3 linked regions of the Danio rerio genome follow. The protein of the gene in region 3 purifies or fractionates together with the protein of the main gene of each other region. This does not show direct contact. Links are inferred from orthologs where the notes say so. Each region holds a gene or a part of one and is shown on either strand. Other genes may lie near its edges.

Region 1 (11,058 bases), on a different chromosome or scaffold from region 3:
AACTTAAGTGCACAAAATGCATACAAACTAGGTGGTACACAGTCACCGTTCATATCTAAAACTTAATTAATAACATTACCTAAACTTGCTTCCACCATGATTCTTTAATTAAACGCCCACAGACTCCGAACAAAGGGGTTTAAAGAAAATAGCAAGCTTCCTCGCCAGTAATTATGATATTGTGGCGGCATTCATGTGCACTCATCTCATAAATACAATCATTTTGATAGAAAGCAGAAACACAGACTGCCATCGTTTAACTAGGTTTAGTAAATGTTCAAACAAATTCACATTTTCATTTATTAAAAATATCTGAAACCTATAGGTTGGATCATTTAACTAATGGGCTACTTTTTCTCTAAAAAGTGTTGTCTTTTAGGAGCTGCAAATCCTAGTTAACTTGACTAATGCATCCTGCCCAAGTAAAGATGAGTCAAGACCAGTCAAACAGTGACATCTGATGGTTCCGTGGGTGTTGGCTTGACAGTGACTTATTACTGGCCTGGCCTGTTGCCTGTGCTCTGCTCAAGCTTAATGCTGACTGCAGTCAAGACTGAGCATTGGTAGACTGATTCAGGACCTGTCGCTCGGGGATAAAAAGTGACTGAACTTACTGAACAACAACCCCCATAATTCCCTGAGGGACACAAACGACATATCCATCAGTCACACCAATCAAATTTCCAAATAAACATCCATATGACCTGACCCCTGACCAATCAGAGCACAAGATAAATAAACCGTTGACCCGGCCATTTCAATTCACTCTGGGCAGACGCAGACACTCGTTGAGTCATTAGGGAGGGAGAGAGAGAGAAAGAAAGGAGAGAAAGTAGTGGTATTATAAGGGTGTTGATGGATGAGGGTAACTGTGTTGTTGTCACCTACATCCAGTCCTTCCTCTTCTAACATATACAAGGAAATCGCTTCTTACGTTGGTGTGTGTATACGGGACTCACAATTCAAAGAATCAAACATACATCTTACACATATCTCCTCGTACATCTCATCTCCTCCTGTTTTCTCTCTGATGAAATCTCAGACAAACAGACCAGAGGATAATTTCCCAGGACATAAGTGGACCTTTCTGCTAAACCCAGCGGCTTCTGGCTAATCAATCAATCCTTTGAGAACGTGTGATCAATCATGATCAAAACCCACAGTGGTCTGCAGCCCTCTCCATCTTACGCAGATGCACACGCTCAATGCCTGGGAAAAGCTAGGCTTGTTTCAAACTGACCCCATCACGGCCCACTGTTTTACTCGTAATTAACTCATCGGTCACTTTGACTTTGTCTCTGAAACAAAAGTTCTCCGTTTTAGGCCCACTGATCTTTTCAGAGTGGACAGTCTGAAAAGAGGCACAGGATTTCTCCAAAGGGAAAGCATCACAATTCCAGGAACTCAACTTAAAACTCTGCAGAATATCATGCCAGAGGAGAGAAAGAGAAGTAGAGAAAATATTTACTTGAGAGGTATACAAAAACTGAGAAGTTAACATTGTAGATTTTGATTTTTTCGCAGTCTGAGAAGTGAAGACAACATAAACAATTGTTTTCTTGCTTTCCTCAGCCCCCTCTGAAAAAGTTGCTATGAGGAGATGTGGTTCACTGTTCACAGACATCATTATTTCCACTAAACTCTCGAGATATTCAGAATCAGACGACGAACGAGTGTTTAATACGCTTCGCGCTCACCTTTTTAAATGGCCCGATCCGTTCACCCCATTTTGAATAGGCTCTATAATGAGGGGCGGCGGCGGACGCGGGACGCAGCACGGCCCATTGCACAATGCAGAATCAACCGCGCGCCTGTATCTGTGAAGAAGCGGACTGTGGTGGCGCGCTGACAGGCGGAGAGAATGCTCGCGCGCGGGGCTTATATTCTCACGCGCTTCACTCACGCGGAATGTCACATTGTTAAATTTGGAGCTTTTCTTTTTCAGCGTCCAGTTGATTTTTCGTTGTTTGGACACTTTCACGGTAAAGCGAGTCACATCAAAGTCAAAACAAAAGTCGTGGCGTGAAACTGATGGAGCTGTCGAAGACGCAGAACGGGACAAAAGGACAATCTTAAAGTCTTGCTGAACATGTGCAGCTTATCAGATATAATTATCATCAAACGAGGAATCAGATAGTTAAGGCCCAAATGTTTCTGATTTGATTACGGTTTTAAAAACATCAAGTTTAATTCTTCAGAGTGAACTTTATATGTAATGCTGGGCATCTAAAAATTGTGAATAATTAATAATAAACGTGACTTGCATTATTACATATTTCTAGTAGCTTCCCTCACTTGTAAAACAATCTCTACAATAATTTATGCATTAATTTTTCCTGTAAATTACCTACTACAGTCCAGGCAACATATTTAATTGCTTTAAACATGGCAAGTAATCCATTTAATATATGATTATATATATATACTCTGCACTACCTTCTTTAACGCATGTTTCATATTTCTCATATACTTATAAATAATTTTTAGGTATTAAAAGTACAATTTGTTTATTTGCTAATTAAACTAACAGTATATCTGATTTCTTGAACAGACGTTATTTTTAATCAGAAATAAAACCATTTGCAATACTGTATTTAGACATGTTGGCAGGCTTTCATATGTGAATAATGCTATATAATTAAAAGTGCAATAAAAGGTGTCAAGCGTCCGAATGTCATTGCTAGGGTTTTAACTGACAGCACGTCCGATTTCTGGCAGGTCAATGTTATTATTCTTGTTCAAGAGGTGTAATTTTACTCCATTCATAGTAAACCTGCAACATCATGCTGAGGGATATAGGACACTTGGCACGGTGTGTTAAAACATTATAGACAATTTAAGACTGTTGGACCTGCAGGTGAAATGTCCGGCACCGCTGGCCAAATCCACAAAACATGTCGTGCACACACACCAGCTAAACGACCGATTTTTATTACCTTTCCAGCACTCACACACATCAGTGCGAGCGCGTGCAGGCAGAGTGATGTGCGGTGAGCGCGCGCGGCAGAGGCCACACGGAGAGGAGATTACTTTTTTCCTTTTTTCCCCCTTGAAGGAAACCGAGTCCGCAGCTACTCAGACTGACGCTGAACGCGCTTTTACCGGCAGACGGGCCCCGTTATGAGGAGTCTGGGAATTTAAATATTCAATGTTGACATAGTGCTGGGCTGGCGCGAGGCCAGAGAGGCGAGGGTCTCGCGGGACCCGCGCGGTCCAGAACATTCTCTCCCTTTCACTTAATAGGTAGAAATCTTCTTCTTATATCTTGGGTAAATAATAATCTTTAAATACACCCCCTGATAATCATTCCGATTTTCTTAGATAGTAGTCTAAATAATGATGGGAGTCAGTGGGAGGGTCTAAAAAATATTGGCAAAAATCTTACTCGACTTGCATCAAAAAAGTGCCGGCCTGCAACGTCATTTTGTCTGATTTAAGTTATGAACAGAATATTATAATAAAAAGTAATTTGCATATGGTTGTGCAGACACCACGTTAAATTGTAGATCATGGCAATAATAAAAAAAATGTAGTTGATAGGAACATAAAAAATATTTTACTAAATATTGAATAAAATAGTGGAGTTGTGATGCTGACTGTAAATTAATAAATGTCATCAATAAATCAATGGCAAACAGTTGGTTTGTTTTAAAATCTCTTTCGTATAATGCAATTTCACACATTTCTTAAAAAGTGACGGGTTACCTGCATCAGCTGGAAAACACCAAAGTGAAATTGAAGTTTGTGAATAGATGTGTGGACGATAGTGTGTGTGCACGTGAGTATGTTTGACAAGTTGCTGCTGTTCGCAGAAAAACCCTCTCATTGTACAATGGCAGGGCATAGGGCTTGAGAGGTAGTTTATTGAACGGATAAGACCCGCACGACCCCTGTTTCTGTCCAGACGGAGTGCGCGCAGTGTCTAGCCCATCACAGTGCTGTCGACAGGAAAGGAAACAATAATTCAAGAGCAAAGTGATCTTATACTTTGTTTTCACTGCCTCTTTTGTTACCTTGGCACATAGAAACAACATTAAAGTTTTTGAGCAGATGTCAGTCTATTACTAAAAACAAACATAAATAATAAAAGATTAAAAAATAATATACGCAGGCTGCAAAAAATACTTTAGTTGGCATGTTGTTTGTTTTCTTTCGAGTTTCTCAGGTTTACAGTATATATAGTGAAACTTGAGCTTAAAAAAACTTTTATCTCTGCTCCGATGCCTATAAGCACTGTGAAATATGGAAATATTGCATGGATTTTCGTTGTTTATTGCAAAAGAGCAACAAAAAAGAAAAGTTAAGAAAATTGCTCAAATCAGACTCTGCAGCCCACTGCGCACGAGGGGGCCGAATTATTCACAGACCTGAGCGAAATACATTCGTTCCGAATAAATCTATTGAGGAGGGGAACAGCTTCCCACTAACTACTTGATGTTGAGTTTCGGCGTTTGAGCTTGTGTTGTGGCGTGGCATTGAACACACGCATTGAACGTCAACTCAAACAAGCGCCTAAGGCAACCCGTAATCAAAAGCTAAGATTACAGCCGACCGTTTAGAGGGCCATAACAAACAAAAACATTTCTCCAGGCTGTTCATACCGGAACAAAAATTCATAACGGGATTTGATCACTTGTTGCACAACCACTTTCGACAATTGCACAGGGAAAAAAAAAGAAATGTCCACAAATCAAAAATACTTCAAAGCACTTTTTTATCACAGTCCTGTTAATCTAGCATATGTGCAGTTCATTAGATTGCCTGTCGTAACATCAGATGGTAAGCTACCTGTTTGCATTTAAAAGCGTGCCTCCGCAGCTGGCTTTCTGTTGTCGACTATAGGCGAAGCTGTCTTTTCAAAGTCGCTGCTGCAAATTGATGTGACCGGAGCCGTAGAAACTTGCACGGAGGTGTTTTTTTATCGAACACCGGGGCGCTCGGGGCTCGAATAGAGAACGCGATTACAGCATGCGATAGTTAAAAAGTTTGCGCGCCACGCGCAACTTTGATGCCAGTTTCGAATCTAGGTTTGCCATGTCCGATCGCGAGCGACGCTTCTCGTTTAGCTTTTCCTCAACCTCCGCAAGCAAGTAATATTGCTGGGCTCTGCTGACTGTAACTGTTTAGAGACTAAAATGTTTCTATGCATCATAAACATGGACAAGATGGCAGTTTGAAAAGGGCTAAAAAGGAGATGTTGCACCTACCAGTGGTCAGTTTCCTTGCCCTGCCTTTGGACCTCATGATGCCCGTCTTTCGGCGTGGGTTCGTCGGATTTTTTCTCGAATCTTTTCCTCCTTTTTCTTTTTTCCTCTGTCCTTTTTCTCTGTGATTCTCAATCCCAGACGCACTATCTCTCCAGCATTGTCAGTTTGGACACCTTCGCACATGCGCACAGCCCCGAGCTGCCAGCATCGTCAAAAAAGTTTGGAACGATTCATCACCCAAGTATTACAGATCTTGTCAGGTTGCAATAGCCGGCGAGATCCCTCTCGTGTCAGATCTTCAGAGATCAGTGGGCGCGGGACGGAGCTATTCGCGACCTCCGGGTGCACGAGGAACCGGAGACATTAATTATAATGAAGCAGTCTCGAGCGTCCAAGGCGCCCGGTCTTTTGTGTTTTAAATGAAGACGCATTAATCACTGTTCGGGTAAATGACTATTGTAAAACGTTTTCATTAAACGTTTTATGTTGTTTAATTGAGACTTGACCATCGTTATGAATTTATGAAAATGATAAACTTTTACTTCTCTCCCCCTCCCTCAGCAGGCGCGTGGGCAGTCTGTACCGAGGGCAGCCCGCTGAATATTTTTTTCCTTTATGCGACAATTATTAATCTGTAAAGTTTAGTCTCTCTCTTTATGATTTAATGCCAGTTAATGACCAAATACACTGATACAGAATTAAAAAATGAAAACTGTAAAACAATCAATTATTTCCAAGTGTGTAAAACAAAGGTGTTAATGTTATCAGGTAGCAGTTGAGTTGTTTATCACAAATATAGGCTACTCTAATTTTTATGTGAAATGAAATGTGATCTCTGATGCCTTTTCATCGATGTCCAGCAATCTTCAAATTAAATGTATTGCACTGTAGACCTTTATCTGATATGATAAATTATCCTGGACCTGTATAACGAATTTATTAGCTTTATGTTATTTATTATTAGTTTTCAAGACGGGTGAGAATTTGTGAAACTCTTGGGTCATTAAGTTAATTGTCCATTAATTAGAAGCGCGTGACATCACGTTGACCTTGCCCATGAACCTTTAAAAGGGTCGCTTGCCCCTCACTGGCGGTATTGATTGCTAAGTATTTCTAAAACGGATCCAATTAATCTGACATCACTCTGCATAAAAATGAATGGCGCAGAACAAACATCAGCTGCCGCCCACGACTATCTGAGCTGACCAGCACTTACTAAAGCTTACTCGAATAAAACCCACAAGAGTAAACAGAAGAGGAGAAAATGATGGTTCTTTAAATATACAAATCATGATGCAATTATCAAATATCAGTGATCATTAAAAATATCTTGATATCTAATAAAGCCATATTAGAATTGATCTAAAACTCAGCTAAATTGCCCAAATAAGAATTTGTCTTGCATATCAAAAGAACAATAAAATGGGCCAATATTTATTCACATACATGCATGCAACTTATTAGATTGAAACACAAAATATAATATATATATATACAATATAATATATAAAAGTTATATAAAACATAATTTGTTATTATTTTATACTAAATAAAATATATGCACAAAAGAATAAGTACACCATTGCACTGCATGCAACTTCTGTAAGACAAACAAAAACAGAAGAAAAAAAAGTGTGAGCAAGAGAGAAAGGGGGGGGGGGGTTGGGGGGGGGGGATGGCTGTCAGTGCAGTTGTGGCTACCTCTACTTTGCTTAACCATACATTGGCATTAGAAGAGTTTTATCCATTCGCAATCTCTTACCGTGCTTATTTTCCACGGGACATATTTTATGAGGATACTCTGACCCCGTCGGCCAGAGATGGCGTATAGCTGGCGCACTGGTGTGAGGATCAGTCAAGACCCCGTGGGCTGTAATTATTGAAAATTAATTGAGGCCAAAACCCCTTTGGAAATGCGGCTAAATTATTAGCTTGTCGCCGGGTTTAAATTCAACCCCATCAAACAGAGAAGATGCAGTTTACCTTATGTGATTAATACTCCATCCTAATTAAAGGTTTGCCCTCTTCTGTCGTTTGATGTACAGCACAGAAGGTCGTTTGGCGAGATGTTAAAGAGGAAAGGGAAGGGTTAAAATAAAAAACATAATTTGTAAAGTCGGGGGCTCTCGCGCCAGACTGAAAGTGAAATGGGAGCCGCGGGCACAAGGAAATTACCGCGCGCCCGCGTGACCTTTGCGCGAGGTAATCAATCAAGTGATCAACAGGGATATTTATCAATGCTACATCCTGTCGGCTGCCCCTCAAACTCGAAATCAAAACAGTGCAGATGTATCGGAGAGTGTGAAATAGGCTGAATTATTTAATATATAATGTCTGGGATTGTAATTGAGTGCAACATCAAGGAATCTGGATATTATTATTTCACTCAAAAAGATACCAAAGCACCGTTATTTAAGAAAAATACAGACAGAATTGTAATTATTTTTTTATTAGTAATAATAATAATGAATAATAATAATAATGATTAAATAATAATAATAAATCATATTGCAAAGTTTTACATCAATACTCAAAATAATAAACAAGGGTGAAAAGGAAAGAAAAATGATGCAGAGAAAAATGTGCTGAGCAAGGGTAAGAATTATTTTAATACAGTTTTTACGACCGTAAAAACCGATTCACGCCGGTCATTTAATTAATATAATTATATTGGCATCACTTATCGGTACTATTTAACTCGGCAAAGTCATAATGCTTGTTGGTTTGGCAGAAAACATTACGCAGGGAAAAAAATAGGAGCAGGCTGCACAAGGCAGAAAAAGCAGCGGTGCCCCGGCGAGCAGTGCCCCTATGAGGAGGTGCGCGTAACGGGAGACCGAATGAACACGGGCGCATTCTTCATCCGTGGAGACTTTGCCAACGACTCCCTCTGCCCAGCCTCTCCGCTTCAAACAAGCGGAAACATTCCGTAACCACAGGCTTCACGGCAGAGAGAGGGGGTAGACCAGGCTGCAGCAAACACTGTGCATGCAATTCGTATTTTATTACATATGCATTTTTAACTTTACAGCCGCTGGTTGGCACATCTGTGCGCTGGTTGAGCTGTCTTAATCAGTATTTCTTAAAAGTGTTTTTAATAACTTCAGATTTCACAAAAGTTAAATTATAAGGTAATAATTACACACTTTAAATTTAATGAACGCTTGCAATAGAAACAGTAGCGTTACTTAAGTTCGGTAAAATATAATTATTGACAAAATAAACAACGTCATTATTTATCACATTACACAGAAAATAGCTTGCTGTTTGCTCTAACTACTTATTCTAAATGAGCTGAAACAACATAATTCTTGAGGTTTTGTTTTTGAGAATTTAATTGTTTTCTGTTCAACCTACTTACATTTGTTAAGTAAACTTAATCGATTTGTGTTGGGACAACATGAATGAATTGTATGGAACTCTGCATTTACAGTTTAGCAAATCTATCACAAATGATGTATTTGTTTAAAAGGTTTGCGTAAAGGGCGCCAAAAGACAATTCGGGTTGATCGAGAGGAAAAAACCACAACATATTGCAATAAAAAATTCCTATTCAAATTCCTTTACAAATGTGGATCCCCTGCAAGCTGCCGAATAATCCGCAGAAAATATATAGGTTGGGGCTTTGCTTGGCGAGCAGTATTCACACATCTGCGGTGGGGCTCTATGTCCAACAGCAACAATGTATGATTACTGTGAAATCAATGGAAGTGGAAAAAAGGGCTTTAAAAAAACAACGTTAATAACATCACGTCAGGCCTAAATGGTTTTAAAAGTATCCCAGTTAACAACTATTATGAAAATAGCATAACGGTGAAAGGTGATCTAACTGAAAGATATTAGCAAACTTCTAATTATGCCAATTGAGATGGCTATTTTTGAACATCAGATCAGCACCATTATGATTTAGGCTAGCCTGTCATATCTTATTTTGCAGAGAACAAAATCTCTTGATAGTCAATCCTATTGTTGTCTACAAAGCCGCAAAAGACAGCATAGAAACACTGGATATGACTTAAACAAGCACTGAAAAAAGCTAGGAGTAAAACTAGACCCAAGCCACAAGACGCTGATGGTGAAAACTCTCATTAAACTCTTCTCTGGGGAAAGACGTTGTGCTGATCTAGCATGTCTGTTCGTCAGTCATAAAAATCCATCGCTATCCTATAAATAAATCAGAATCATTCATATGTTGTGTATCGCGTGCTTTGAGTGAAAGGGTATTTAGTAATTGAAGTGCTCGCAGCACAGCCAAGATTGAGTTTTATGCCCTCACCGAGCGCGCGCTCGCGGAAAAACTGCAGGCTGCACGAGCTCGAGCGCAGGACTCTACGTTTGCCTCTTGTAGTCAATGGAGGGAAAAGGCAGTTTCAACGATTATATAACCGAGTAACAAAGAAAAAAATATATCCGAATGTATGTTATTTAGCTAAAATCACTTTGAAATATTTTTGTATTGATATAAATTATAATAAATTGATGAAGTAGCCTGGTGATCACAATGGGAGCAACATTTTAGATTTATATTCCGATTTTCTGAAATGATATCCTACATAATAAGCATGCAAACAGAACATATACTAACATGTTTTGTAAAAACAATTAATACTATTATATAACCCGACAAAATAATTAATTACAAAGAAACTAAAACAACTACCAAGGAGCACCATTATAATTAGTAAATCCTAATAGACACAACAAAGGAACAAAAATTGAAACAAATACAAATAATTCAATATATTGTGCAATCAACAATGAATAGCCTATTCTTAATAATATTAGGTTAGATTTAAGTGCATCAAACGCGTGCACCCTAAATGCTGAATTGTATTAACATCTGAGTTAAATATGAACAACCCCAACAGTTGGATTAAAAAAATTAAATAAAACTTAATGTAAAAAAGCAAACGTTGGGTTTGTTAATATTTGACCCAATGTTGGTGTTTCCACACTAAATATTTCCCACAGCATTAACGAGGCGCATTTTCCCCGTTATGCAATGCGTGAGTTTTAAACACGGTTTATTAATGAACATTTACTGCCATCTAGTGACAAAAACGGGCATTGTGCATCATATCAAACATTTTTCCTAATTTAAGACTTTGAATTGATTCATAATTATACGATCTGTGCCCATCTGTACGCTCACTATCAGAAGTGAAAGGGACCTGCGTGAGTAATGCCAACTGTTGCCTCATTGACCGGCCTTCCTTTGATTGACATCTATTGGAGGAGAATGGTCTGCTTGCAGCTACTCTTCCCGGCAACTGACTATCAACAAGGATTACGATGCGCTCTCAAGACAATCTGTGGACGTATTTATGGCCTCGCCAGCTTTATAGGCAGCCGTTTATCCTAAAGCACATAAACACCATGCTCATCCATTCCCACGGGCTCCAGCGTGAAGATTCCTGACAACTAATCAATTCGGACAGTCGAACAGAATTATTTATCTCCTTTTCCAGTAAAATAGACAGTTGCTATGTGCGGCAATTCCCGGTTGCGTGTGTTTTTATGCAAAGAAAATGCAGTTGAGACATATACTTAATTTACTTGTCAAAATCGTTCAACACTTAGTATACTAACTTGAGTTCAACCTCATGTATAAAGTTGCACTCAAAACAAATAATCTGGCTGGTTGTTCAAAACTACTTTTTTTAAATGAGCTTAATCAGCACAATTTTGAGCGTTTTTTGACAACTTTTACTTTACTTTATTGTCCAAAAGTGGAAATTTATCTTTGGCTTCACCACACAGACACATCAGCGTTCACATTACACACATCGCAGAAAAAAAACATGCAACACAAACACATTAAATGTCATCACATATATCACATAAAAAAAGA
Region 2 (10,938 bases), on a different chromosome or scaffold from region 3:
CCCTTTCAAAATCACATTACCCCTGCTGTCTGCTCTCTCAGTGCTGGATTATCTGCATGCCCTCAAGCAAATGTTGTGCATATCCTTTAACTGACCCCTGTCAGCTCAAAGAAATGCTTTATTTCATAATAGCATGATACTTTTGATACTTGCACTTCAGTAGTCTTACATTGACAGTTGATAAAGGGATACAAGCTGGGTTGCACAACCACTTAAAAAAAAAAATTGTGATGTTGATTGATTACCATGCATTAAGTTTCATGTACAGTTGAAGTCAGAATTATTAACCCTCTAGAATTATTAGCCCCTCTTTATCTTTTTGGTTTCCCAATTTCTGCTTGACGGAAAAAAAAATCTTAACACATTACTAAACATAATAGTTTTAATAACTATCTACTAATACCTGATTTCTTTTATCTTTGGGTTGTATTGCGTTCAACCTGTGCTGAGCTGGGATCGAACCAGCTATTCTTTCTATGGGAGTTGGTTGCTCTAAAAAGGAGGCTGAAGATCATAGCCTCTTGCATCTGTAGCTAGAGCACCTTTTGAGGTTCGAGGTGTGAGGTTTACCTGCTTAGCACTTTGCTAGATGGCCTTCATTACGCTCACTCTCATCCCGGACGAGCCCCCACACAAGCAATCCACCTGTCCTACTGCACCCAACCCGTTCTGAGCTGGGATCGAACCGGCGATTATTTGCATGGGAGTCGGTTGCTCTAACAAGGAGGCTAAAGACCATGGCCTCTAGCATCTATAGCACCTTTAGAGGTCAGAGGACTGAGGTTTACCGGGATAACACTTTGCTAGGTTGCCTCCGTTACACACCCTAAACCTCACTTCCATCCTGGACGAGCCTCCACATGTAACTCTCTGGTCCTACTGCACCCAACCCATTCTGAGCTGGGATTGAACTGGTGATTATTTGCATGGGAGTCGGTTGCTATAACAAGGAGGCTAAAGACCGTGGCCTTTAGCGTCTGTTGCTAGAGCACCTTTAGAGATCAGACGAGTGAGGTTTACCTGCATAGCACTTCGCTGGCTGGCCTCTGTTACACTCAGACCCTAAACATCACTCACATCCCGGACAAGCCCCAACATGTAACCCACCAGACAAATTTTTCCAGCCCGCTCTGAGCTAGGATCGAACCGGCAAATTTATGCATGGGAGTCAGTTGCTCTAACATGGAGGCTAAAGACCATGGCCTCTAACATCTGTTGCTAGAGCACCTTTTAAGGTTAGAGGAGTGAGGTTTACCTGCATAGCACTTCGCTAGCTTGTCTTCGTTACACCCCCTAAACCTCACTTCCATCCTGGATGAGCCCCCACGTATAACCCACTGGTCCTACTTCACCCAACCCATTCTGAGCTGAGATCGAACTGGCGATTCTATGCATGGAAGTCGGTTACTCTAACAAGGAGGCTAAAGACTGTGGCCTCTAGCATCTGTCTCTTGAGCGCCTTTTGAGGTCATAGGAGTGAGGTTTACCTGCATAGCACTTCGCTAGCTGGCCTCCGTTACACTTACCACTAAACCTTACTTTCATCCCGGACGAGCCCCCAAATGTAACCCACCGGTTCTCTGCACCCAACTCGCTCTGAGCTGGGATCAAACCAGCAATACTATACATGGGAATCGGTTGCTCTAACAAGGAGGCTAAAGACCATGACCTATAGCATCTGTTGCTAGAGCACTTTGAGAGGTTAGAGGAGTGAGGTTTACCTGCATAGCACTTTGCTAGCTGGCCTCCATTACATATACATCTCAGAATCACTTAAAGAAAGAAATAATGATATTTAACAAGGATGTTTTCAAACAAAATACGCGTTGAGCATATTAGCAGGTCAGTAGATATTAATCAGCATTTTAGAATTCTTTCTGAAGGAGCATGTAGCACTGGAGACTGAACTTATAATTAGAAAAAAACATATTTAGAAGCATATTGTATGGAAATTTCACAGTATTGTTGTATTTTTGGTCAAATAAAAGTAAGCATATGAAACATTAAAGGGACAGTTCACCCAAAACTGAGTATTCGGTCATCATTTACGCTACCCTCATTTGTCATAAATCGATTTGAGATTTTTTTTTCTTTTGTTTTTTTATTTATAAAAGAAGTTAGTTTGAAAAATGTTGGAAACCACTGACTTTCATAGTATTTGTCTTTCTTCTTATGGAAGTCAATGGTCACCAGTTTCTAACATTCTTCAGAATATCTTCTTTTGTGTTTAACAGCAAAAAAATCCAAAAAGTTTTGGAAACACAAGCGTGAGTTAAATTTAATTTTTGTGTGAACTTTCCCCTTTAGACAGTTATAAATACCAACCATACACACATTTTTCTAGATAAAAACACAATTCAAACAGTTTTTCTTAATTATATTACATTTCTTAAACCCTGCTTTATTAAACCTTTCTAAATAAATCTCATATTTCATTCTCTGACATCCCTTGGCAAACACAATCTCAATTTATTTTCTGTCGCAGGTGGGTGACATGTACTGCGTTGATGCTCGTTTCTACGGGAACATCAGCCGGTTCATAAACCATCACTGTGAGCCCAATCTGCTCCCCTGTCGGGTGTTCACCTCTCACCAGGACCTCCGATTTCCTCACATCGCATTCTTCGCCTGCAAGAACATCAGTGCCGGAGATGAACTTGGGTCTGATTTACATCATTGTCTATTTACTTGCTAACTGAATGTGAATTTTGCTTCACAGTATGGGTTAGGGTTTTCTAGTTATCTTGTACTTATAGGCCTTAATATGCTTACTTTTTCATCCTGAGACAGTCTCTCATGTGTATATATATTTTTTAATCATCCCAATCCAAATTATTAAAAAAAAATTTCACATTTACTCAAATATATTTTGCTAGCATAGTCTTTTGCAATGACAAAAAAAGAAAGCAGCTTAAAAACCCCAATATTAGATTGTTGTTGTTGTTGTTATTATAATTATTATTTTTATTATTATTATTATTAGTAGTAGTAGTAGTAGTAGAAGTTGTTGTTGTTGTTTTAGTAGTAGTTGATGTTGTTGTAGTAGTTGATGTTGTTGTAGTAGTAGTAGTTGTTGATGTTGTAGTGGTAGCTGTAGTTGTAATAGTTTGTTGTTGTAGTAGTAGTAGTTGTAGTAGTTGCTGTAGTTGTCGTAATAGCAGTTGTTGTAGTAGTTGTAACAGTAGTTGTTGTTGTAGTAGTTGTTATAGTTGTGATTGTTGTTGTTGTTGTAGTAGTCGTAGTAGTAGATGTAGTAGTTGTTTTCGTAGTTGTTTTCGTAGTTGTAACAGTTGTTGTATTGTAGTAGTAGTTGTAGTAGTTGTTGTAGTAGTTGTAATAGCAGTTGTAGTAGTTGTAACAGTATATGTTGTTGTTGTTGTTGTTGTAGTAGTTATAGATGTTGTAGTAGTTGAAGTTGTAATAGAAATAGTAGTTGTTGTAGTAGATGTTGTAGTAGCTGTAGTAGTAGTAGTTGTTGTTGTAGTTGTAATAGTTATTCTTGTAGGGGTAGTAGTCATAGTAGTAGATGTAGTAGCAGTTGTTGTATTAGTGGTAGTAGTAGTAGTAGTAAATGTTGTTGTAGTAGTAGTAGTTGTAGTAGTTGCTGTAGTTGTCGTAATAGCAGTTGTTGTAGTAGTTGTAACAGTAGTTGTTGTTGTAGTAGTTGTTACAGTAGTGATAATTGTTGTTGTTGTAGTAGCAGTTGTTGTATTAGTGGTAGTAGTAGTAGTAGTAAATGTTGTTGTTGTAGTAGTAGTTATAGTTGTTGTAGTAGTCATAGTAGTAGATGTTGTAGTAGCTGTAGTAGTAGTAGTTGTAGTAGTCGTAGTAGTAGTAGTAGTAGTTGTTGTAGTAGTAGTAGTAGTAGTTGTTGTTGTTGTTGTAAGAGTTATTGTTGTAATTGTAGATGTAGTTGTAGATGTTGTAGTAGGAGGAGTTTTTTTTAATAAATGAGCATGCAATATGGAATGGGGGGCAGGTGGGCGATTGATGTTTTACCCTTCAGCATTTATTATTGCACTGATTGTTTTTAGGCTGTAAGCAGACCATGTTAATCAATGCACTGGAGAAAACCATAAATATAAATAAAATAGCTTGCTGTATTTTCTCAATAAGCAAAATAATGTTTTAATAAGCAAAATAAAAAAAAAGATTTTGTTTAAGACAAAAAAAAAACTGAAAAGAAATACAAAAAGAAGCCAAAGATAGCAAATGATGTCTATTTTGAAGTACAAAATACAGCTATTGATAGTGCAATGTTCTTTTGCACAAATATATGTGTATTTGAATGCAAGTTAGGTTTTAAGTAATAGTCTATGGCTGCTTTTACTTAATGCAAGTGAATTGCAAATAATTTAGTTCATTTTGGCATAATTTTCTTCTAAAGCATACATCACCAGCTCGTTCTTTGAAGAATATTAGTGCCTAAAAGAAAACGTTTATTTGTATTGGAATATATAGTTTTTGATTTTTGTCCCTTCCCAGGTTTGACTATGGCGATCACTTCTGGGACGTAAAGGGGAAGCTGTTCAACTGCAAGTGTGGCTCATCCAAATGCAAGCACTCTGCAGCTGCCATCGCCCAGACACAGGCAGACAGTACACCAGGTGACCAGCAGCCCAGCGCCCTACCCGATACCAGCTCATCCACCCCATCCAGCCCCAGCTAAGCCTTCTCACAACCATGTTTGTCACCTTTGCCAGCCTGCACCTCCCTTCACCAGCACGGGCACATCTCTGCCATCTCTGGGTAGCCACTTGATGCTACACCCACAGTGCCACATTTCGCTCTGGTGGTCCGAAAGCCTATTGTTTGGTATGGTTTAGGGGTTTCAAATCTTGAAGGTGAGAGGTGCACGATTGGACTGGTGTTTGGAGTGTTCTGAATGCACATTTTGTATGGATTTTTTTGTTTTTTATTGTCAGCCTGCCCATTTTGGACCACGATGCATCTTGTAAAGAGGATTTTTGTTTTTTTCTTCTTAAGAATGAGGCTGTTTGAGCCAATTAAGAGACTGTGTGGCACTTGACGTAATTTCGTCGCACAATTCAGACGTCACAATGTGTTCTCCTGCCCTCAAACCGTGTTCTCAGTCATTCTCATAAACGATTTTATAAACAGTTGAGGTGAACGAAAGCTCAAAAAACTCCCAAACGAGTTTGGACATAATGATTTAACTCTTGACGCATCTTTGTTTTATGTTTAGTCTGTTCTTAGTTTTTGTGCATTTGCATAAAATTGTAATTTTCAAAGACCAAATTTTCCCCCTTACAGTTTTTTCTGGTTCTTTCAGTAGGCTGAGGCTAGCAATCATGGGATTTTAGCGCGAACGTTGTGCGCTTCCTCCTTTGATTGGTTCACAGACGCAGGACGTCATGCCAGAGCTACCGAAATCATGAAATGGCCTCTGAATGGGACACTTTTTGGCCTATTTCTTCCTGGTAAAAGCCCGGTTCTTGAGTAAAAATGCGCTTTAATGGTGAATCGCCACTGGAAGTGCAAAGCAATCCTGGACTAGGCTTAATCTGTGTGTGAAAACAAGCCCTATGGGTTATTTCCTGCATGTTACAGGCCTGGATACACATGGCTTCTGTTTAATGCAAATGATGTGCATCCCCCATCAATGCAAATGAAAACTGTCAAATATTTTCTGTGCGTACTTTCGATCACAGCGACGGAGCCTATTAGCATGCTTTTATGAAACGTGCTTTAGGAATAGGACTGGAATGAAATGCGGTCGGTGTAGGAAAACGCAAATGGTGCTGAAAAAAAAGGTTTTTGTTTATTTTTTTATTACTCACTAAGTGAATACAAGTTGTAAAATATGAAGATGCTTTTTTTTCGTTTTTCATTTGTATTTTTAAATTGACCTCTGATTTTTTTTTTCTAACTGTAGTTTTGACATATTTAGCTTGTACCAGTTTTGTTCCATGAGTCCATGTTGATGGTGAAACTATTACGGTCTTTTAAATGTTGATAGTGTAGTCATGTTCTTCGTGCAAACCCAGACATAGAGATACAATACACTGCAAAATGAAAGGGGAGGAAAAAGAAAAAAAAACTGTAACATATTTCTTGACAGTGAAACATGATGCACAATCTTACTGATTGTGTTTTTCTTTTTCAATAAATTTGCTACTAATAAAAGATAAACCTTTCTGTTGATATCATCTGAAAAATGTGAAGGGCTGTGTTGATATATTCTAGTGTTGCAAATGGGGTGGTGGCCAACAAAATGTCATGGAAATTCACAACTTCTTGATTTATTAAAAATTTGTATGATCTCGTTCATACATTTTAGTACGATTTGCTCATCCCCCATTGAGGGGTGGGGTTTGGGGGCATGCCTTCTTTAAAAAAGTCACACGTCTTCATATGAATGAAATCTTCTGTGTGAATTACTGCAGAAGTATTTGTCAGTCGAATTTTGTTTATTTATTTTAAATTCTGTGTACACCACAACTTGCAAATAAGTGGGTGTGGCTTACTCTCATGCAATGAGCTAGGGCTGTGCAATTAATCCAATATCCGATTTCGATTTTGGCTTCAAATGATTATGAAAAACCATTAATCGAGATAAACGATTATTGCATCATATACTGCCCCCTTTCCAGCTGTACACTGTTGTTGCTCTTAAAAGCGGAAAAGACCGCGTGCTTATGCATGTGTGCGGCACGCACACAAAATCAGAACATGCGGCCGGTCAGCATTCACTCTCATTCGCACACCGAGATTAGCAGAGGAGCGCAGACATCTAAAGTCATCGTAACGTGAGCGCTTTAATGGTCAAATAGGTGTCAAAACACAATGTTTAGTGATTATTCATGTTAACCCTCATTCGTGTAATAAACAAACAAGTTGAGGATCAAAAGACACGTGAAAGAGAAACCATTAAAGAGACAGCGAGAAATAATTTTGCTGCCGCCTGTTTTTATCATTAATCAAACAAAACGAGAAAATCCCTGTTCTTGACTGAAGAATTTTTGTAGCTAAAGTGTTTTTCTGACAGTGAAGATGCTTAAATCACAGTTTGTATTATATTTTTTTATTCTTTTCTTTGCAGGGTGGAAAATAACTACATATACAGCTGAAGTCAGAATTATTAGCCCTCCTGAATATTAGCAACCCTTTTACTGCCCAATTTCTGTTTAAATGGAAAGTTTTTTTATTTATTTATTTTACATATTTATGAAAATAATAGTTTTGATATGTCATTTCTAATTACTGATTTCTTTTATCTTTGCTATGATGAAAGTACATAATATTTTACTAGATATTTTTTGAAAATACAAGCATTCAGATTAAAGTGCAATTCAAAGGCTTAATTAGAGTAATTAGGCAAGTCATTGTATAACAGTAGTTTCTTCTGCAGACAATTAAAAAAATATATTGCTTAAGGGGGCTAATAAAATTGACCTAAAAATGGGTTTCAAAATATTTAAACCTGCTTTTATTCTAGCTAAAATAAAACAAATAAGCCTAAGAAAAAAATATTAAAGGAAATACTGTTGAAATTCCTTGCTCTGTTAAACATCATTTGGGAAATATTTATTTATAAAAAATAAAAATTCTCAGGAGCACTAATAATTTTGACTTCAACTGATAACCGTTTTAAATAATCGTGATTACAGGTATGACCAAAATAATCGTGATTATGATTTTTCCCAAAATCGAGCAGCCCTACAATGAGCCCACCATACTGATTTCACCAAGTTGGACATGTTCCTAGATTAACATCTATGTTGATCCTGTAACAACATGCCAATAAGAAATAAGGGATATGTTTACCGTTTATGTTAAGTTTAGGCTTGCAGTTTATGCACTTCTTCATGATTGTTATCCAACTATTATTCTCTTATGATTTTGGAAATAATTTACAGTTATGGTTGTGTTTAGGCATAGAAATAGGTATGGATTACATTTTCGACAAAAATTATGTTCCAGGATCGCATCGTACTTGGCAAAATCATGACGTGAGCCTGAGCTTGATAACAGATGCTCCTGAGACTAAGGGAAGTGCAAGAAGGGTATAAACGGAGGTCAGAGCCAGCTGCAAATGGGTGGTACTTGAGCACTCTTTTGTGGGCTGTACATACTTCCTGCAGTTTTCATTGATTTATTTAATGTCTTGTACATGACATTGAGTCCAAACTATTGTGTTTTATTAACCTCTACACTAGGGTTGCTCAACCCGGCAGAGACATTTCAGACATTTGCTGCAGAGTTTAGCTGCAACACTGATCAGGCACATCTCGACCATCTAAGGCTGCATTCCAGTCCAATTGCCCTTCACTCGCCAACTACCCTCTGACAGTCAAAATCAGGGTATGTATGGTTCACCTAATGAAGTGGAACACACTTCAAAATGGCGAGTGTGTTTCTAAAAGTAACTGGATCGCAGCCTAGGATCTGAAGGAGCACTCCGTAATTACAGAGAGGTGTGTTTGATCAAGATTGCAGCTGAACTCCTCAGGAAGGTAGATCTCTAGGAACAGAGTTGTGGACCCATGGTCTACACCAGGGATGTTCAGTCTCGGTCCTGGAAGGCCGGAGTCCTGCAAAGTTTAGTTCCAACCCCAATCAGACATACCTGGGCTTGCTAATCAAGCTCTTACTAGGCATTCAAGAAACATCCTTGCAGGTGTGTTGAAGCAAGTTGGAGCTAAAATCTGGAGGACTCTGGCCCTCCTGGACCAAGTTTGGTCATCCTTGGTCTACATCAACCACTACCCTGAACCAAACCTCAAAGTAACCTATTATGTTTTATTAAGTCTACACCAGGGGTCGATAGGAGGGCAGGTGTCCTGCAGATTTTAGCTCCAACTTGCCTCAACACACCTGCAAGGATGGCTGCTTCCGAAGTTGCATACTTCCATACTATATAGTATGCTAAAAACAGTATGTGAGCCAAGTAGTATTTCCAAATTTATAGAGTCCGAAAAACAGAGTGCGAGATGGATGACCTGGATGACTTGATACTTCCAGTGAGATTCTAAAGTGTGCATCCAATGCACGGTACACTAGCCCATGATGCTCCATGAGAGAATCATAAGGCGACGAAACTGACGCTGGAAGGTCATGTGATCATGAAAAAATGATGTAGTACGTCTGAGTTCCATTCAAATTGCCCACATTCATACTGTATAGAAAGTACTTTTCCAATGGCAGAGTTATACATTTAAATTCAAATGCAGTAGTGGGAATGGGTTAATGTGAGACACCCCCTGTATCTTGGCAACAGATTTTATATACTCCTCGATAACAATTTTGTTTTCAAGCAGATTCCATTTCCCCTCTACCATGAAGGACAGGAATTCATGGTGCTGTAGAAAGTTTTTTTTTCTTCACAAAAATGTATTTTTTGCTGGTAAAATTAATTTATCTTGCTGTCAACTTAATCAACTGTTGTGCCAAAGCAAATTGATTCTAGTAGAAAAACTTATATCATACATGTTGATGAACTTTCAACATAAAAAGCCATGTGATGCTGCATTCTGAAGATTAGCCTGATTTTTTTTTTCTAAAATGTGGCAATGGGGTAAAGTGAGAAATAAGGCAGACTGTAAGACTTGTGAATGAGGCCTTTACTGTATGTTAGCAGTAACGCCACACAACATCACTTCTGGATTTAGGTTCACTGGAATTTTTCCATATAAACAATACATTTTTCCTTGATAAAGCATTTTCACTATTCATGGTGTCAGACTGGCCAAATCCTAAGCTCCAGCTTGTCACAACAGAATATTTGGATGGTCCACCCTCTCCAGATGATCCACTTGTAGATAATTCACTCACTGATGCTAATCCATTCACTACGCATCGTCTACATGGATGTGCCATGTGTTTCCAGCCAACCTGGATATGTGTCCTCAAGAAATGCTACCACTTCTCAAATGTTTCCTCCCCAGAACACAATCCAAATGAAAGTGTGTAAAGACACACAAAGAATTGGATTGTGTTCTTATCTAAGTGGTTCTATCTGTCATTAAAATGTAAACTTGAATAGTTGAATTAGATTGTTGTATTTGAATTTGTTCAGTTACTTTCATGTAAAGTAAAAATGTGCTTAATTGACCAATCCCCAATCTAAAATGTGTGGTTGTCAAGGATTCAAGCTCTTACAACATGTTTTGTTATGGTAGTTTTAAAATGGAAATAGTAAGTGGTTCACTTTACCCCTTTGATTTCTCTGGCCTGTCTCAGTTTACCCCTAAGCTGCGGTAAAGTGAAACAAGACCACTTTATTTTTTAAAACAATCATATTTTCACGGACCTTTATCCTAAATACAGTCTGATAAATTCCATTGCCAGGAAACATTCTGAACTAATGAGAAGTGTTCAATTTTTACTGATTTATAATTTCAGCTCGCTTAGAGAGGAGGAAATGTAAAAAATGGCTCCCATTCTCCCCTACCTACGGAGTAGCAGTTGATTTTAGATGGAGCCAAGGCTAACCCAGGTGTGCCTGATTGGGGTTGGAACTAAACTTTGCAGCCAGCACACTGCCTCTTCAGGACTCAGTTAGGGCACCACTGTTCTAGTACAGCTAGTATTCCTGGAGTTCCTGGAGGTCCACTGGCCTGCACAGTTTAGTTCCGACCCTGCTTCAATACACTGTAAACAAGCCCGAAGGACTCAATCGAGTTTGATTAGCTGATCCAGGTGTGTTTGATTAGGGTAGGAGCTAAACTCTCCATGACACCAACCATCCAGGACAGAGTTTAGACACTCCTGATCCAAACTTTCCACCAACCCTAAACCCAACCTCATAATAACTTTTTTATTTTTATTTTTATGAACGTCTATTTACTTGTGGCATAACTTCCTCCCACTTAGAGGTGTGCAAGCTGCAGCTAACTATACTTGGTATGTGTGGCTGACTGGAGTGCTTTTAGTAAGATTAGTTCAGCAATATGCGGTGATTGCAGATAAGTCTCG
Region 3 (11,167 bases):
AAAGCAGCAAATAAGAGATGAGATGAACAAAACAGTATGTTTGAATTTCTATGAATCAAAGTGTCCAACAAAAGTATCAGTCATTTCAAAAGAAAGTGTATGATATCCCGTTTAACAGAACCAACTAATTAAAGCCTTATATTCTTCACTATTTTGAAGAACATACACATTTTATTAATTAGGTTACTAAAATGTGCAAAATATATGCTTGTGACATGTGCCTTAAATATATAATCAACTGGCAAACACTAATAAATAAATAACAATAATAAATAACGGTAGTGAATGATCACATTATTTGGTGACAAAATAAAACTAAAACGGTTTGAATTGCAGTTTAAACATTCATAAGCAGATTTATATTAGATTATGTACATCTCCACATCAGTGCTCCCAAATTTACATTTAATCTCTTCCATTGCAATGTAGTTTCAATGTAGCAACAACACTTAAATATTCAAGTTTCAGGGTGAAAATATAAAGGTAATCATTGGAATGATGCAAACAAGAGCTTATTTTTTTCATTGATACGTTAAAGCAATAGCTCACCCAGCAAAATAATAATACCCTTGCAGATTTCCACAAATCCAAGAAAATAAAGCAATAATTTCTAAAATCATTAGTTGTACTCCTTATTTATCAATGTGGTCAGGTGGATTAAACCAAAGCTGCCTAAATATAGAGTTTTGGCCATCAGAAATTATATACCTTGCAATAGATGGAGAAAAAATATCTCCTAAACGCTTTGGCTGAAGAATGGAAGTCACATGCATTGCCTGGTCATAATTAACCCTTTTTCGGGCAAAAGAAAAAATATTGTAACTTCATTGACAGATTACAATACAGCACCCCGAGTAACACTCAAGGTATTTTCCATTGAGTATGTCTATTAGTGTCCTATATTTAGTTAAAAATAAATAAATAAATCACATTATTTTTCGGATAAACTATTCTTTTACCAGCTTAATGCTTTCACAAATTCAGTTTAAGAATTTAATATAACAAAGTAAGCCTTGGTACGATTATAAGTCTAATAATATTGTACAAGCAGTAGATTCACTGATAATTATATTGTCATAAAAGCTGAAACTGAAAGACCACCATGCAAGTATTCTCAGACAGTGCAGCCATTTTGTTGTTTTCTCTGTCTAAAGGCTTAGCTGAGCAACTTGTGGCGATCGAACACAGTCTTGCGCTGCTCCTGGACCTGTTTCTTCCAGCGCTGCTGAGCTCCCTCCACCCTCTCAAGCACTGTATTTCCACGAGCACCGTCCACACGTGGCCTCACATCCTGCAGAGTACAATTAATACCCAAATGTTTAGGGTCAAGAGTTAGTCAAGAGGCAACTATTGTCTTCTGCTGCTGTAGCCTATCTGCTTCAATGTTGGTCAGCTACTGCAGACCTCAAACATAAAGATTGTTTATTTGAGTGTCCCCTAGTCTTTATGTCAGCTCAGTGTGCCTGTTCCGTCTGACATTAACAGGAATTGTTTTTTCTATAGAAATCAAGCTTACTGGATATTTTTTATTTTTTAGATCATTCTTTGTCAGTCAGAGAGATGGTTGTGTTAGATTTGTATAAAGGACTGACTATGGAGCTAATCAGTGCTGATATTAAAAACTGTGACATCCACATTGCCTATTTGCATTTTAAATGTGAAGACCGCTGATTGGCCACTCATTGGTTAACAGACATGAATGTGATTGGCTCCAAAGACCCTCTTCACCCACCACTTGCACTGATACACACTGAGTCAATGATCACTGGAGCCAATCACAGTAATATCTGCTGAGCACATGAACACTAAATACAATCAGTAGTGTTTAAGGACCTGCTCAACAGTGCTCAAATGTTTTTAAACTACAGTACTGACTGGTACCGAAGTCGATGCTTTTCATATTCCTATGTGGTATGTGAAAATACCTGTAGAAAATACTTTTCTGAAATACTCAGACCAACAATTATGGCACATTCAAAGTGATTTAAATCATCTTTCTTCCCTAATTTTGATACTCACATTGAACTTCAGCAGATTATACTGACCACATCTACATGCATAAATGCATGAGGTGCAGTCATGTAACTGGCTGATTAGATATTTTGTGATTGACTAATATAGAAATGGTCAATCTTGAAAAAAAGAAATTGATTTTTTTTGCAGAGGATTTGTGGAGAACTTTTATTATTTATATAATATTTTGATTTTGGACAAAAATGTTTTGCTAAAAACTGTATTTTGAGGCCACATAAAAATGTAATTTCTGCGTTTGTGTAACTTTTCTCAAACAATTTCCACATACCTCTGAATCCTCCTCATTCTGCAGTGGCATGGTGTACGGATCATGTTTGCGAATCAGAGGATCAATCAGAAGCAGGAATAGCATGTACAGTAAAAGAGCTCCGACCACTGACAAGTAGATGATAATGGTCACCTGGGAAATTTATCAGAATATTAATACTCCTCAATTTCCTTTAAATGCATGATTAGATAATAAAAGTCTCTTCTCACCTTGATGGTGTTGCTGCTTCGTTCTTCATACTTGCACTCACACAGCAGACAGTAGGCCTCCACATCATGACCAGGCACTGGCATGGGCTCCACCACATGCAGACAGTTACTATAAGACAATACATTCATAAATATAAATGGAAAAAAACTATCAAGATATAATGTACATAATCTATAAAATATATCTTTTACAGACAGTACCAGTCTGTCTAGAGCAGAGATGGCCAAAACTAGGACCCGCAGGCCAAAGTTGGCCCAGAGAGAGAGAGAGAGAGTTTTAATTTTATTGCCATTTCAGCCTCTATGGCTATGTCATGGCAAAAAGAAAATAGATCAAGTTTATCACGTTTTATAAACACCAATTTTCTATAATTATAAAAATATTCGAATAAATAAAAGTATTCAACAGCAATAAATAATGTACAAGGTAAAATACATATATAATAATAATAATAATGATAATATACAAGATAAAAATCTAAAACAGTTTTTTAAGATTTCCTTTTGATAAAGATTCACATTTAAATATTCCACTAGAATATGTTTATCTGTTTGGTTTCTGTTGCAATATAGACATTTTGGGGGTTCTTCTCCTTTAAGTAAATGTTCATGCGTGAGTCTCGTGTGTCCAATGCAGCATCTTCTATAAACAATTTCATCGTGTCTTGACTTGAAAAATAAATTAGATTTTTCCAAAGTTGGCCCATGGTAACCTTTAATTTGGCCTGCCAACAAATCAGAAAAGAGATGGACAAATGATGGGGAAGGTCGGGCTGAATCCCTCAAAAATAGATCGTCTTTTCTAATTTTACGTAACCCTTTGTTTGTTTGCTTAATTGCTGAGCTACAAAAAATGAAATTAAATGTTTCAAGTAAATGTGAATTCATCAGAATATTAAGAGTCATGAAACCCTAAAACACATTTTTTTTTAGATGTTGACAGACATATATGCGTGGCAACAATGCTAAAAACACTATTAGAACACATATTTCACTATTGAAATAAAAAATCCTTGAACTACATTGTGCTATAAATTAGACTGTTTATAGTTTTATTGTAGGTAGTACATTATAAAATGCATTATATTTATATGATATATGATGATTATATGATAAATAAAAAATTTCTATATATTTTAAAATATTATTAAATTAAAAAGTTTCTATGACAACTTTAACGTAATACAGTTTGGTATATTTAGCTTCGGCCCACCACCCTCAATCAAGTTTGGTTTTTGGCCCTTCATAAGAAAAAGTTTGGGCACCCCTGGTCTAGAGTCTTACCAGTCTTTCTGGGTCACATTCTTTTTGTATATATGTCCAGTGATGTTTCTGTAAGGTGGACAGATGCACTTGCAACGCACATCTTCAAAACTCTGTGAAAGCAACATATTATTTTCAGAAAGAGACAAATGATTTCTCTAAAATGAAGAAAGGCACAGTATTTAGCAAGGAATTTGAACTTTTTTTAAATTATACACAATTCATGTTAGAGTTATGCTCATTTATTTATTTTTAGGATAGGTATATAAAGCACATTAGTATAAATATAGGGGGTCAAAAAAACTTTTGTTAAATCATATCATCAACCTCAGTAAGTCCTTCCTCCATATCTCAGACATCTTTTACACAATTTTGCTGATTAACGTGCAAATGTAAACCTATTGACAAACTATTAAGGTTTCTTTTCTGGAGTAGTTTGTATAGGTTAATACTCCAAAGATTTAGTTTTAGTTTTTTTTTGTTATAAAAAAATGCTAAGTGCTAATCCAGTACTGGGTTGCAGCTGGAAGGGCTTCTGCTGTGTAAAACATCTACTGGATAAGTTGGCGGTTCATTCCGCTGTGGGGACCCCTGATAAATAAGGGACTTAAGCCGAAGGAAAATGAATGAAAAATGCTAATTGCATTAATAACATGTCAAAACCTGGTAACATTCGAAATGTTGCCTTTTTTCACGTTTATTTACATATAGAGGTTTTAAAACATAAGAATACAGGTGAAAATAAGCCAGTAAAACTGTACCTTATCTGCAGAAGCAAACGACACCACTTCTATGAGAACAAGAAACGCCAGGAAAATTACTGGTGTCCGGAGACTTTGTGCAATGAAGGACATGACGCCTGTAAAATAATACATTTAAATTATTTGTCGTTTAGCTAAAGGTGATGGTTGTACTGTAAACAATGTACTTATAATCAGTTAGTAAATGGTCTATGCCGCATTAATAAGAGGCTGGCAGACAACCGGTTTCGCCGTTTAGGCCTTCTCCTGTCTATATTGCGTATTTTAGAGGAAATAAAATTACATAAGGAGGTACAAATACATAAAATGTTACACGCAGAAATGCAAAACTAAACGCACAAACATACAGACAGTATTTACATCAACGCATTTGTTGACTTTTCCCGGAAGTTCATGAATGTTTACGTCACACTGTCACGTGACGATGACACTCTACATGTCCCGCCTTCGCATAGATAGATCTATGCCGCCTTCATAACCGGCGAAAAGCAAAATAAAAGACTTTACAGCACATCTCCGTTTTTACTTTGAGTGACGTAAACAGCCTTTTTGTTTCCTAGATGTTAGATTATGAAATTAAAGCCTTAGTTCAAAAAATCGTATTGACTTTTTTGTCTCGCCTGGACACCAAAAATTAACCATTCTAGAGTAATTAAATGGGTAACCGTTAAATGGAAAGCATCTCACAGATAACTAACGTTAGTGTCTTCAAAATATTATCCATATCTGCCTGTAAAATCAGTCAAATTAAGATCTATTTTTCCTCAAAGTTCACACATTTAACGAATGTGGCATTTTGCATAAACTCTTCCCGATTTAAATACTCTGCCACTATTGGTTGCTCAACCCGTCACTCAGACGGGGCGCATCCAACCACCGAGCAGCCTTTAGTTCCATAGTTTTGGCGGCGTGAGACGATGGCGGAAAATTTGAAAGGTAAGAATATGCCGTGTTAATCGTTCACAAACAACAGTTTATTCAATATAAGTCTGATCTATAGCCCGAGTTGGTTAAACGACATGTTTTCTCGGAGGTAACCCGGAAATAAGCCCCGAGTTTTAAAACATTATTTGCTGCAAGTTGCTGATACAAATTCACGGTAGGTCGGTGTTATGGCCAGCGCGCGCTCCTGAAACACGTTTAACAAACTCTTCGACAATCGCTTGTTCCCCTGTCCAGATTGTTTTCTGAAGTTTTGTTAAGTTGTACAATGTTACATATCTCGCATATGCGCAGTTTTAGCATACTTTTCGGTGTTTAGCTAACGTTTTTATTTTCCTTTGCTAAGTAATTCATATTTAAAAGCAAATGAATACACTAAAATACCAATTCAGCCTGTGAATACTCTTAGTTTAGCTTTGTTAAAGTGTTTAAATGGCCCATTGGTTAGCGAAGATGCTCGCGACCAGCCCTGTAAAGATTAACTTACTAATGTAACGTTATTCCATAAAGCATGAAGGAAGCAGATCTGTACATTACTCTTTTGTATTGTTTTTGTAGATCTAACGTTATATATTTTATTAAAGTTATACGAGAAACTATAATCACTATCTTGTTAGGGAGTCTATTCTCACAATATATTTTGATAAGAAGTTTTAATGTTGCTATTACTTTGATAACATGACAATATTGTAAGTTGGTTTAATTGGCTTTGGTTTGTTGTTGGTTTTTAGAGTTTTATGATCAAATATCTTGAAAATGTTTGTAGTCCATGTTATTAGCTACATAATATTATTTGAAGACTATTTCACTTTTAATTAATTAAATACATTTACAAATACACAGTACATTACAATACATTTTTGTAATATTATTTCAAAACAACTTAATAGTTTAAGTAACATAACAAAATATGTACAAAGTAGTGATTACGGTTGTTTCATAAAATTTTTTTTTAAAGAAAATTATATTTTGTCATGTGTGTGTGTGTATGCATGTTAACCAATAATATTATTTTCACATGCTATTTATTTTGACATGTTTCTTTCTGCAAAGTTTTAGTTTACATGTATGTTAGCAACAGCTTAGCCGTGTTTACTAGCGTGCACACATCTGTCATCACCAATTTTACGGTTGTTGCTAGATCGGATATGGTTGCAGCCAAAAGTTAAAAAAATTGTATTTATTATTCATATAATTTCCCATTAATTGCATTTTATTACCATCTACTCCTACCCAAACCCTGAACCCAACCATCACTTTTATGTAAAAACAGTAGTTGTACTGAGTATTAAACATGTAATTTATTAAATTACCCAATAAATTGTATCTTATAACGTCTACTCCAACCCTAAACCCAATCATCACAGTACTGTATAAATATTCTTGTACAGTGTCACAAAAATGAAGCTATATTGATGTGCGTGTCCGCATCTGTAATCTAGATTTTACCCACGTTTTTACCTCTTTTTTTTTCTAAAATTGACATGTAATCATGTTTTATAGCTCAAGTTTGCAGGGTAGCATGCATTGCTACGACAGAGCAGCTGGAGGTGGTCTGTCGAGATGAGGGAGTGGTGTGCGAAGAGCTCGGCATCAGCAGGAACAACCTGTGTGATTATGAAGTGGAATATTTGTGTGACTACAAAAGAAAAGTTATCACAGATGGGAAGAGGCAAACAGTACAGGTGAGCAGAAAACAACACATTTGTAAAGCATTAGGTTTTATTTGAAATCCAAGTTTCAATTTTTTTTATCCTACATAACAATTGAGAAAGGATTTCAGATTTACAATAGGAGGAACTGGCATTCGGAACAAGGGCTGGGCTATATGGCAAAAATGCAGTCTTGATAATTGTTTTCTATATTGAACCGTAACGATATACATTTCTATGTAAGTTGTTAATGCATCCAGATTTAAAAGAGTAGCCCAACAATGACTGAAGCCACAAAAATTAGAGGGTACTTTAAATGGCATAACATAAATTCAGCTGATGAATTGTCGGTGGGCAAAAATTTGCTGCATGTCTAATATCAACAAAGTTCTAGATTTCTGTTGTTGCACATTTCTGCTGTGATTGGAGCGATTCGATTTAATATCATTTATTGGCCCAGCCCTATTCGGAACTGCTATTCATATACTAGTAATAACAAATGTAATTTTTTTTAAAATATACTTTTATTATATGCAAACATATATAATAAATAAGAGCTTAAAACTAATATTTTGCAATATAAATAACATTTAATAAAGTATTCCTAAAACAAATGTCACTGTAATTATTCTTAACACTGATAATACTGTTAAACTAGATGATTCTGTAATAATAGTAATTGTTGTATTTAACAACAGCAAACTTTCGTATTATAGAACATTTATTTTGATGGAAAACCACATAGAAGTGCTATTAAAAGGCTGATCTTTTTACTTATTTATAAAACCTTAAATCTTATTACATACACAATTTAAAAGTGAGTTTACTTACAGCACTTGGGGTTTATTTGAACAAGCTTTTATTCTGTACCAAGCACAGGATGCTTCTTTTTGCCACTGAATAAAAAATATCTCAAAATACAAAACAATTTTTTTTGAAGGATATGGTAATTGCAATTTGATTAACGGTTTAATTTGTAGTCAAGCTTTAGCTCAATAATCTGTAAGCCGTGGCAACAATGCTGTGACAGGCAACATTCTGCGCTGTCTATGACTTTGAAACCAAAATATTCCCATATTACAAGTGCTATTTTTCTTTGATAGTAATTCGTCTATCAATGCTTCTGAAGCAGGAGATGCCATAATGCCACTTGTCAGCAATTTCCTGTTTGTTTTCTTTTTTTTTTATTTTATTGTGGCCATAGTTCGGTTGCGAAATTTAATTTTGATTGGGCAGAACGAAAGTGTGCTCACTCAATTGGCTAGTAAGACAACAAGAGTAACTGTGGATGCAAAGGTAAGCTGGCTGAAAGGGATGTCTGGGTGCTAGGGCTGTGCTAGTAATCGAAATCGCAATTAGTAATGGTAACGTTTCAAATTGTGATTCGATTTCGATAATCGCACAGCCCTAGCAAACAGACATGCCTTTCAGACAGACATTATCTGACATTATCCGGGATGCTGTAGCTCTTGACACATCACAAAGACTTGTTGTGTGCATTGCGATATTTAAAGCAAAACTGTGCTATTACTCCAATCAAACCATCACACTCTGCTCTTACTGGTGGAATATGCAATCAATGAACATTGGCCACAAGGCTGATCTAATTTAGCCATGAAACCTCCAACACCAATTTGGCCAGTGTTTCATTGTCCATCCCCTGTATCTAGCAATTGTAAATATTTGTATAATGTTTTTTTTGCAATGAGTATATATCTCTCATTTCACTCTTAATATCTATTGAACTTGTATAATTTAAGATATAAATATGTGAGTGTGAACTTTGTAACAGCATTGTGTGTGACTCACCAAAGAGCTTAAATTAACTCCACAACAAATCACACATCAAATAATCATTGCGAGGTTTTTTTTGTAATATTTCTCACAAACATTCCGCGAGATCTGCTTCCTTCTTGTCTGTCGCTGTGCCCTGTGTCCGATGCAGCTGAAGCGGAGATTGAGGCACACTCTGACAAGCACGTGGGAGCGGTGGGTGGGGAGAACTAGCATTAAAGGTACAGGCAACAAAAACAGCTACATTATGTTCAGAGCAAAAAATTCCAGTATTCTAAAATGTATAATAAATAATCTGACGAGTGTTTTGAGCTGAAGCTTTACAGACACATTCTGGAGACACAAACTACTTCTCTTAAATCTTGAAATGGCGGTAAAATTTGTGCAATTTAAACAGTAAAAATACTTAAAACAAAACTGTATCCTACTTTCTCTTCCATGTTTTTCCCTCTCTGTCCCAGGAGTTATACCTGGTGAAATGGAAAGGCTACCCAGAATCCAGAAACACATGGGAACCACGGAGGAACCTGAGGTGCGTCAACCTGCTCTCTCAGTTCTGGGAGGATCTGAATGCAGAGATGCAGAGACAGAATAAACGTTCTGCCCCTCGTCGTCTAGACCCCGCCACTGTAACACACCTCACTCAGCGAGCGAAACTCCGGCAGACCCTCAAACAATGGGAGACTCACCTCAACAGCCTGGGCACCCATAAGGGCTACATCTCTGTCCGCAACCAGGTGGATCTGGAGGGTCCACCCAAAAGCTTCACCTACATTAATGACTATAAAGTTGGAGATGGGATCCTGCTGAACGAGGTGTCCGTGGGCTGTGAGTGCACAGACTGTTTGGCCAGCCCTGTGGAGGGTTGCTGTGCCGGAGCGTCCCAGCATAAGTTTGCATACAATGAGTTGGGTCAGGTCCGCATTCGGCCTGGGTTGCCCATTTATGAATGCAACAAGAGGTGCCGCTGTGGGCCTGACTGTTCCAACAGAGTGGTGCAGAGGGGCATCCGGTATTCGCTCTGCATTTTCAGGACGGACAATGGCAGGGGATGGGGAGTGCGGACCATGGAGCGAATTCGCAAGAACACTTTCGTCATGGAGTATGTCGGCGAGGTGAGAGGGATTGAGTTGGGTTGTTAGTTGTAGTCTGGATTAGATGCATGTAAACATTCTATTATTTTTATTTAAGGCCTGTAACTAACGATTAGTTGATAATCCGTAAATCTGTTGATTTATTTTTTCTATTCACTAGATTAAAACATAATTATTTGAACGGTGAAATTTTATTATTGATTTTACCAATTAGGTTGTTTGTTATATTTATTTCTGATTATTTATGCTATTAGTTTGGGGATTGGTTTAAAGTTCCTAATTTCAGCAAAAAGTAACACTTAAAAAAAAAAAACATAATTCTAATTAATTAACAGGGTTTCCGCAGGGTATTAAAATGTCTTCAATCTCTAAAGCTATATTTTAGGCCTTACAAAGTCTTAAATCTACTGAAATGTTGTGTTGCAGGATCTTTTTTAACAGGTCTTAATTTTCCTTTGTTCATGTATCTGACCATTACACCCATACATTCACCGGCAATCCCAATCTCAATAAAACTTTTAACTTTTTATTTAAAAAGAGCAACTAATTACATTCCTCACACTAGCATTTGCTTTAAAGTTCTCCATTTGTTTGCTGCTGAGGATACAATATTTATTTTTTTATTATTATTTGTTATTGTAGACTGAAGCAATTGACAGCTTAGCTATGCTTTGTTCTATTCTTGGTAAGGGTTATAGTTTGTAAATGGATATATTTGAAAATTAATAAAAAAATATAAAATAAATGTATAATAACTAAATTATTATTGTATTATTGAATGTATTGAGTTTTAATAATTTTTAGATAGAGCAAGTGAAAATCTTTTCTAAACGGGATATTTAAAAAAATCCTTTGCAATTAGCCCTGTATGAATCTACAATTTTATTCATAATGGTCTAAAAATGGTGGTGAAACCTGCAGAAACCCTGATCTAATTATGTTATTATATAATAATTATAATGCAACTATTTTTAAATGTTAAATGCCAAATAAAGTGTTATTCAGCTGTTATTTTTTTCACTTAATTGGATAAATTCATTAAAAATAATGTTATTAAAGTTAGCTGATGTTTTCTATACACAGCACACAGTTGATCAATAATTTGTCGATTAATATTGTAGTTATTTACATTTTATTGTATTTAATTTTT

Evidence for each region.
Region 1: the proteins of suv39h1b (region 3) and mecom purify together in Homo sapiens (affinity purification with western blotting; 3 studies listed by BioGRID). This does not show direct contact. The link is inferred for Danio rerio from reciprocal best matches to the Homo sapiens genes SUV39H1 and MECOM.
Region 2: the proteins of suv39h1b (region 3) and ehmt1b purify together in Homo sapiens (co-immunoprecipitation; 3 studies listed by BioGRID and IntAct, with this or other methods). This does not show direct contact. The link is inferred for Danio rerio from reciprocal best matches to the Homo sapiens genes SUV39H1 and EHMT1.

What each region holds. Positions count from the first base shown.
Region 1 is NC_133190.1:38,326,669-38,337,726, forward strand, and holds the start of mecom (histone-lysine N-methyltransferase MECOM), read right to left. Parts: upstream 5,518-11,058; 5' UTR 5,245-5,517; coding exon 5,208-5,244; intron 1-5,207.
Region 2 is NC_133196.1:16,043,157-16,054,094, reverse strand, and holds the end of ehmt1b (histone-lysine N-methyltransferase EHMT1), read left to right. Parts: intron 1-2,485; coding exon 2,486-2,661; intron 2,662-4,485; coding exon 4,486-4,669; 3' UTR 4,670-4,703; coding exon of another isoform or gene 4,704-4,753; 3' UTR 4,754-6,147; downstream 6,148-10,938. UniProt on the Homo sapiens protein: Histone methyltransferase that specifically mono- and dimethylates 'Lys-9' of histone H3 (H3K9me1 and H3K9me2, respectively) in euchromatin.
Region 3 is NC_133183.1:27,653,215-27,664,381, reverse strand, and holds the start of suv39h1b (histone-lysine N-methyltransferase SUV39H1b), read left to right. Parts: upstream 1-5,042; 5' UTR 5,043-5,452; coding exon 5,453-5,471; intron 5,472-6,980; coding exon 6,981-7,162; exon of another isoform or gene 7,163-8,433; intron 8,434-8,540; exon of another isoform or gene 8,541-9,384; coding exon 9,385-10,038; intron 10,039-11,167. Other genes in the region: proton-transporting V-type ATPase complex assembly regulator TMEM9 isoform 1 precursor, read right to left, coding at 1,157-1,291, 2,303-2,434, 2,512-2,620, 3,796-3,887, 4,536-4,649. UniProt on the Homo sapiens protein: Histone methyltransferase that specifically trimethylates 'Lys-9' of histone H3 using monomethylated H3 'Lys-9' as substrate. Also weakly methylates histone H1 (in vitro).